2 linked regions of the Rattus norvegicus genome follow. The protein of the gene in region 1 purifies or fractionates together with the protein of each later gene. This does not show direct contact. Links are inferred from orthologs where the notes say so. Each region holds a gene or a part of one and is shown in the gene's direction. Other genes may lie near its edges. The genes, in order: Fntb and Dyrk1a.

Evidence for each region.
Region 2: the proteins of Fntb (region 1) and Dyrk1a purify together in Homo sapiens (affinity purification with mass spectrometry; 3 studies listed by BioGRID, counting the BioPlex papers as one). This does not show direct contact. The link is inferred for Rattus norvegicus from reciprocal best matches to the Homo sapiens genes FNTB and DYRK1A.

The regions. Positions count from the first base shown.
Region 1 is NC_086024.1:101,349,684-101,353,497, forward strand, and holds the end of Fntb (protein farnesyltransferase subunit beta), read left to right. Parts: intron 1-1,674; coding exon 1,675-1,806; 3' UTR 1,807-3,033; downstream 3,034-3,814. UniProt on the Homo sapiens protein: Essential subunit of the farnesyltransferase complex. Catalyzes the transfer of a farnesyl moiety from farnesyl diphosphate to a cysteine at the fourth position from the C-terminus of several proteins having the C-terminal sequence Cys-aliphatic-aliphatic-X.
Region 2 is NC_086029.1:47,472,526-47,476,210, forward strand, and holds part of Dyrk1a (dual specificity tyrosine-phosphorylation-regulated kinase 1A), read left to right. Parts: intron 1-3,271; coding exon 3,272-3,685. UniProt on the Homo sapiens protein: Dual-specificity kinase which possesses both serine/threonine and tyrosine kinase activities. Exhibits a substrate preference for proline at position P+1 and arginine at position P-3.

The DNA.
Region 1 (3,814 bases):
TGAGATGCTTTTGTGCACAATGCTTTTTGCTCATGTGTTATAGGTTAAACTTCCCTGGTATGAATATTTAAAATCCAAAGTGCTTTAAAAGCTAACTTTTTTAAGATCATACTAGCACTCAAAAAGTTTTGGAGCCAAGAGTGGTTGTGTACATCTGTAATTGCAGCAGAGGAGGGATACATCCTGCCCCTCCCCAAAAGGACTCTATTCCAGAAAGAATCCAGTCATGTCATTTGCAGGAGAACGGAGCGGTCTCAGGAGGACATGTTTTCTCTCATCTGTGGGTCAAGTTATACACAGACACATAAAACACGCCATGTATCTATGACATGAACCAGAAGTCAAACTGTCTGTGGAGACAAAGGGAATTAACGGGAAGGGGAGGGTTTGAAAAGGGAGGAAGGATGAGTGCGTGTATAGACAAGCTTTAATTTTTAAAACGCTGCGGTGTGACTCCTCCCCTCTCATGTCTCTTTTCTCTTTTGTTTTTGTTTTTGATAGAGTTTCTATCTATCTTCAAAGCTAGCTGTCTGTCCATCCATCCATCCATCCATCCATCATCCATCTATCTATCTATCTATCTATCTATCTATCTATCTATCTATCTATCTATCTATCCATCTATCCATCTATCTATCTATCTGTATGGCTGTCCCGGAACTCTTTCTGTAGACCAGATTGGCCTTGAACTGACAGACCTGCTGGGATTAAAGGTGTGCACCCCCACCGCCCGGCCTGATTTTCTTCCTTACTTTTTATCTTCACTCCATATGAGAGAAAATGTGATCTTTCTGTGTCAGAGGTCCCAGGAAGGGAAACGGAAGGACAATGGAATGTACTGCCAAGGGAGAGGTGGGGGACAGCAGAAGTGGGGGCTGGGGGCAAATAAGAACAAAGCATACTGACTGCACACAAGAGAATGTCACAGCAAAAGGCAGACACGCACTCCTGTAATCCCAGCGTGTGGGAGACGCAGGAAGGTCAGGAGTTCAAGGCTAGCTTACATAGTAAGTCTGAGGCCATCCTGGACTAGATGAGACACAGAAAAACAGAATGGAAGGAAAAAAAATGGAAGGAAAAAAATGCTGGAACAAGCAGTACTTTGTTAATTAAAACATATTTAGTGATAAGAAAGTTACAGTGCTTAAGAAAAAGATTTTGGAGCAAGGAGCTAGCTTAGTGGTGGAGCACATGTCTAACATGTTAGGGTACTAGGTCTGCCACACAGTTTCTGATTTCAGTTTTACATAAGATGACTAACTGGTAAAGTCTGGGTGAATATTCTAAAAACAACAAACTCCAAAATGGCATTTCCTCACGTCATTAAAATATTTGAAAGCACATATTAGAGCTCTCTCTAAAAGATTTATCATGTAAGTCGGTGTTTTGTCTGCCTGTCTGTCTGTATGAGGGAAGTGAACCCAGGTCCTCTGACAGAGCAGTCAGTGCTCTTCAGTGCCGAGTGTCTCCAGCCCTGGAAAGCACACATCTGGGTGGCTGAGTAGTGGTCCCCTGTAATTGTATACTGAGATGTTGACTGTTTTGTCGCACATTTGGGCCTGGAATAACCCTGTGTATGTATCACTCACGCTCCTTAGCCGAAGCTCTGCTGGTGCCTGTCCGCAGCCACAGAGCCACTGGTGACGGACGGCTTTGCCTCTGTTCTCGTTACAGCAGCCCACTCACCCTGTGTACAACATCGGACCTGATAAGGTGATCCAGGCCACCACACACTTTCTGCAGAAGCCGGTCCCAGGCTTTGAGGAATGCGAAGATGCGGTGACCTCAGATCCTGCCACTGACTAGAGGACCCCATGGCTCCCCCAAATCCCCCGTCAGACAAGGTTTCTCCGTTTGGGTACATAGCACAGTCCGTGCTACTTGAGCCTTGGCCACTGTGGAGTTGTGGTTTCTTTGTCCTTTCCTGTCAAACAAAACAAAGCCATCAGCTCTGGGTTGGAATACACAATGGTGTGATTTTAAAAATTATTTTCATACCTGTCAAACCAAAACTCTGGGAGCCGATGTAGTAAGCAGGGTTGGAGAGCAATGCATGCTGGGAAGCAGCAGCCTCCTCCAGCAGCCAGGCCCACAATGCTGAAATGGAAGGTGTCTGTGAGTATCTCCACATCACAGCCACTGCTGTGCCTCCCACCTACACACCATTCAGTCAGCAGATGGGCTCCTCTCTGGTATAAATGTCAGCTCTGTGCAAGGGCGGGGCTGTGGGTCCAGCCAATACATGCTCTCTGGAAAACAGCACTGGGCTCCAGTGGGCATATTCATACTTGTCTCTTTTACCCCAGTCATTTGCGAAGGACAGGGGCCAGGAATGAAGAAGGGTCTTAGATTGAGCCTTCCCCACAACCTGAGGAGAACTGATCTCATATTTCTCCAAGGCCATGTTTGTATGAGCAAGACTTGTTTTGCCCTAAGTATGACGACTAGACCCAGGTAATCAATTATGAGTGGAAAATCAACCTCTAGGTGAACTCTGTGCCAGAGGAAGCAGCCTCCCCAGTGCCCAGCCCCTGCCTCTCCCCATCATGTACCAGGAGAGGCCCTCCTCACGGCAGTGCTGCAGCCCAGGCTCCTTCTAGTCCTTTCTCCCCACCCACCCTCCAAGACAGTGCTCTTTTCTCATCCAGGGTGTTAACACTACTAAGGCTTCACCGTAATCGATCACTCAGGATTTACTCCTGCCCTGCCCACTCCAGGCTCTCTGAAACACAGTCAAGTGCTAGGCAAGCTAGCTGCTGCTGGGACAGTGACCAGCAGGAAGGCAAGTGCTGTCCGTGTGCTGAATTCTGGAACTGCCTCTGCACCGGCTGAGTTTGCTCACCTATCCACTGCTACAGTCATAGCAAGCTCATGCCGCTGTCCCAGCCTGTGCGAGCAGGCAGACGGGAGCTTGGAGATGCAGCATGAGGTTCTTCCCCAAACCACTGGCCATTTGCTGCCTCTGATTCCCCATTGCTTTGGTGTACTGGGCTATGTATTACCTCCTTGAAATAATAAAAGAGTAACATTTTCTATGCTGTCTTTTTTTTTTTTTTCAGAGAAAATTTAAGTGTGTGTGTGTTTGTGTAGGTGTCTGTGGAGACCAGAAAAGGGCATCAAATCCCCTGATCTTAGTATAGGTGTTGTTACTTAGTTCAGCATGGGTGCTGGGAACCAAATTAGTATCTTTTCTAAGAATGCCAAGTGCTCTAGCCATTGAGCCTTCTTTCCAGCCCACCATGCTATCTCCTGTCTATACCAAGAAAATTCCTTCAGGATGCCCTTTTGCTGTGGGCATTTCCTCTCTCCTGCATGTGAATGAAGGGAGTTGAAATTCATTCCTCCTTGTGTATCTCCTTCCCACACTGAAGTCTGATATTTGTGAGTCCCCAGCCCACCGGGGAGGGGACCATGACTACCATCGCACAGGGCTGTGCGGGTGGACATCCTGGCCATGGGTAGGGGCTCATATGGGGGTAGCCGGAATTCTGTGGTTGCTGTAAGTGACTCTCTGACAAGGCCAAGAAGGCAGCATTCTGAGCTTGCTTCTTGAAAGAAGGATACCTCACGGGGAAACTCCATCCATGCAAATAACCCAGCTACATTCTGAATGCAACTCTCATCCCTGGGCAATGTTTATTTTGCTAATAAAGGTTTGGGTTGCAGTCCAATATCCCAAGTTTACCTGGCCACCACGGACAGGAGAAGGCTCAGCACCAGAAGCCTAAGGCAATGAAGATGATAATCGGGGTCAAGAAACCACCTCAGGGGCTGGAGAGATGGCTCAGCAGTTAAGAGCACTGACTGCTCTTCC
Region 2 (3,685 bases), on another chromosome or scaffold:
TTAGTAAAGTGTTTTGGGCCTTCCTTTGTTCCTCTCGTTCATGTGTGTATGGTCTATGTACTGTAAACATACATAGTCATTCCCAGAATAGCACAGCTATATGTTCCCACCTACCTTACAGAGGTCACTGATCTGTTGGGCAAGCCCAGCTGGCATTTCTGCTTGTGATCATTGTCCTCCTGCCTTCAAGAAGCTGGAGTTACAGGCGTGCTGCACTGTGCCCAGCACAGTCTTTTCTTTTTGAGTTAAATTGTTTTTAGTTGTTTATTTATGTTGAGTGTGGATGTATGTGGCTGCATGGGAACCATAGCATGCTTGTGGATGTCAGAGGACCACTTCAGGGAGTCGTCTCGCCATGTCTGCCAGGGGCAGAAGGAAATCTGAGTTAAACTCTCAGACTGTCAGGGTTGTTTGCAAATGGCTTTACCTGCTGAGCCATCTGGCTGGCCAGTCTTTTAATAATTGATACAGTCATGTAGTAAGAAGAAAGAAACCACAGAGGTGGTTTATGAGAAGCCCTCTTCTTCATGTCAGCTAGTGTAGTACAAACTAGTATTTGTAACTTTTATGTCTTTGAAAAGATGTTCTTTATGGAAAAGTAAACCTAGCTATATATTATCAGATAATGTATTTAATCAGATAATATTTTATATGCAGACAAAATATTTATACACAAACACCTTCACCAGGTATATTATATACACTAGCCTCTTTTTTTTTTTTTTTTTTTTTTTTTTTGGTTCTTTTTTTCGGAGCTGGGGACTGAACCCAGGGCCTTGCGCTTCCTAGGCAAGCGCTCTATCACTGAGCTAAATCCCCAACCCCACACTAGCCTCTTTATAAACACTGTCATATACATGCACAGTTTTATACCTAGATCCTTCTTCACTTGGCGTAGATTGGTATTCTTCCTATATCACAGTAAAACTTTATTTTATACTGCTTTGCAGTATTACATTGTTCAAATATTTCATGATTGATTTCGCTCATAGCTTATTCATGGGCATTTCTCTTATCTGTAGTCAGTTTCACTATTTTTGATATCATAATAAAAACTTTTTAAGTACACCAGTCACACATGCACATTTTGTCTGTGTTCTAAATTCCTAGAAAGAGTTGGAAATGAAATTGCTGAGTCAGAGTGAGGTAACAAGGATTATTTATGGTCATGATTGTCTTCTGCATGATCTGACAACTCAGTAAGTTGAGTATTAAAAGTCATTGCCAACTTGGAGTATAGTGGTAGAGCATTTGCCTGGAGCACACGGTGCCCTGGCTACATTAGTCTCCAGCAGCACGTAGGTGCACAGACTTCTACACTTCCCCCCAAAGAGTAAAGGAAGAAAGTAATGGAAAAGTGTGCTTTGGAGTTCCTTTATCTGTGCTTGACTTCATTGTCTATATCCACTATGGTCTGAAAATACCAAACAAAGGAAGAACCATTTTATCTTTATAAAACTGTGTGCTTCTGAATAACAGGATGAGATCTCATCCCATTCTTTCCTGTGTCCAGCTTTGTCTGTACCATATACACAGCCTACCAGTCACTTGGGAAGGAGGCATCCTCATTGTCAGATAACTTTCTGGGGGTTGGGGATTTAGCTCAGTGGTAGAGCGCTTGCCTAGCAAATGCAAGTCCCTGGGTTCAGTCCCCAGCTCCAAAAAAAAAAAAAAAAAAAAAAAAAGGTGGCGTCAGATAACTTTCTGTGCAGCCACTGTGAGTGTATCAGTGGCTGTCGTAATTTAAGATGTTATAACTAACCATGTGCTGACGGGTTCAACTCAGAAGCAGCGTGCTGTCCACTCAGGTCAGTCAGAGAGCGCTCAGTCGGGTGCAGTTAGTCTCTGTATTCTACACATGGGTCTCTTCTCTCTGCCTAGGAGCATAGGTATGCTGCAGGGGTCGGCCCTGCCCCTTAGCAGAACCCTTCTCTTGTGTGGTGTGTGGTCACAGTAGCAAGTATTTCTCAGCTGAGACAGCATGGATTGGAGCCGTGCGTGTTTCGATAGATTTTGGTGCAGTTGTTCACGGTTTACCAGTTGAGTATCTCCAATCTGAAATTGTAATTGCTATATTTTTAAAGCATTTCATAGTAGATTAAGAATGGTCAGCCTTTAATTTTTTTTTTTATGAGATTGTTGCCAGTTTTGTTTTCCCTACTGGATTTTCAGGAGTTTCATTTCTGTACAATTTTTATCAAATATTTACTTTTAACAATTTATGCTAGAGACTGGTGGTAGAGATAGCCTTTGCCTTTTCAGAGCTCACAGTGACATAGTAAACACACTAAAACACAGATAAAAACAACAAGTGATGATTCTATACCAAAGAAAGACTTGACGTATTCCTCTGAGGTAGGTATTGCCTGCTTGGGGTTGGTAAAGTTCTGTGCTAGACCCCAGCACCGTCACCGCAGCAGTCCAGAGTCATGTGACTGAGAGGATGTTTGTTAGACTGAGGCATATTGAGTGAAGTAAACTAAACACACAGTCTCCGAGGTGGGCATCTGAGAGAATGTGGGGAGTTTCCTCTCTGTGAGTACAGTAGTCAAGTAAGTGTTGATTTGTCATTTGTGTGTCATTTATGACTGGTCTCTTACCAGGTTGTGACTCTACACCCCCTAGGCCCAGTTAGTTGCCCATGGCATGGTACCCAGCAGACAGACTTAATGAGACCTAGACAGACTCAGTCCGTAGTCCTGCTGGTGGCTAAGGGAGTGCAAGGAAGGCTGGAGCGTGTGGTGCAGTCATCTGCAGTGTAGTGCAGTGACTATGGAGTGGGGATATGGAAAGGCAGCGAGGGTGGCACGGCAGCAGCCTTTGCCACATGCACTTAGGACGGCAGCCGGAACCCAAGCGAAGATTAGAAAAGAAAGCATTCTCTCCAGGAGGAAACAGTGAGTTCAGAAGCCTGAAAGCATATGTTCAGGTCAAGGGGTGGGAAGAAGACCTGGGCTGATTGGAACTCACGTAAGTAAAGAAATATTGGAGAAACAGCAGTGGAAGATTGAAAGATGGTGTCAGGATTTAGGATGACTTTATGCACACTAGGATGCGCTGAAGGGATTTTGGACAGGGAACAAGCTGACTTGGAAGGATATTATGCTCCTCTCAGTGGGTTGGAAAGGGCAGGGACGGACATGGGGCTGCCCAGGAGTGAGTGAGTGAGTGAGTGAGTGTTTGTGCTCAGGCGTGCTGATAACCCTGTCACAGTGCTGCTCCCTCAGGTGTGCCAGCAGTTGATAACCCTGTCACAATGCTACCCCTACAGGTGCGCCAGCAGTTTCCGGCTCCTCTGGGCTGGTCAGGCACTGAAGCTCCTACACAAGTCACTGTTGAAACTCATCCTGTTCAAGAAACAACCTTTCATGTAGCCCCTCAGCAGAATGCATTGCATCATCACCATGGAAACAGTTCCCATCATCACCACCACCACCATCACCACCACCACCACCATGGACAGCAAGCCTTGGGTAACCGGACCAGGCCAAGGGTCTACAATTCTCCAACAAATAGCTCCTCTACCCAGGATTCTATGGAGGTTGGCCACAGTCACCACTCCATGACATCCCTGTCTTCCTCAACAACTTCTTCCTCGACATCTTCCTCCTCTACTGGTAATCAAGGCAATCAGGCCTATCAGAACCGCCCAGTGGCTGCTAACACCTTGGACTTTGGACAGAAT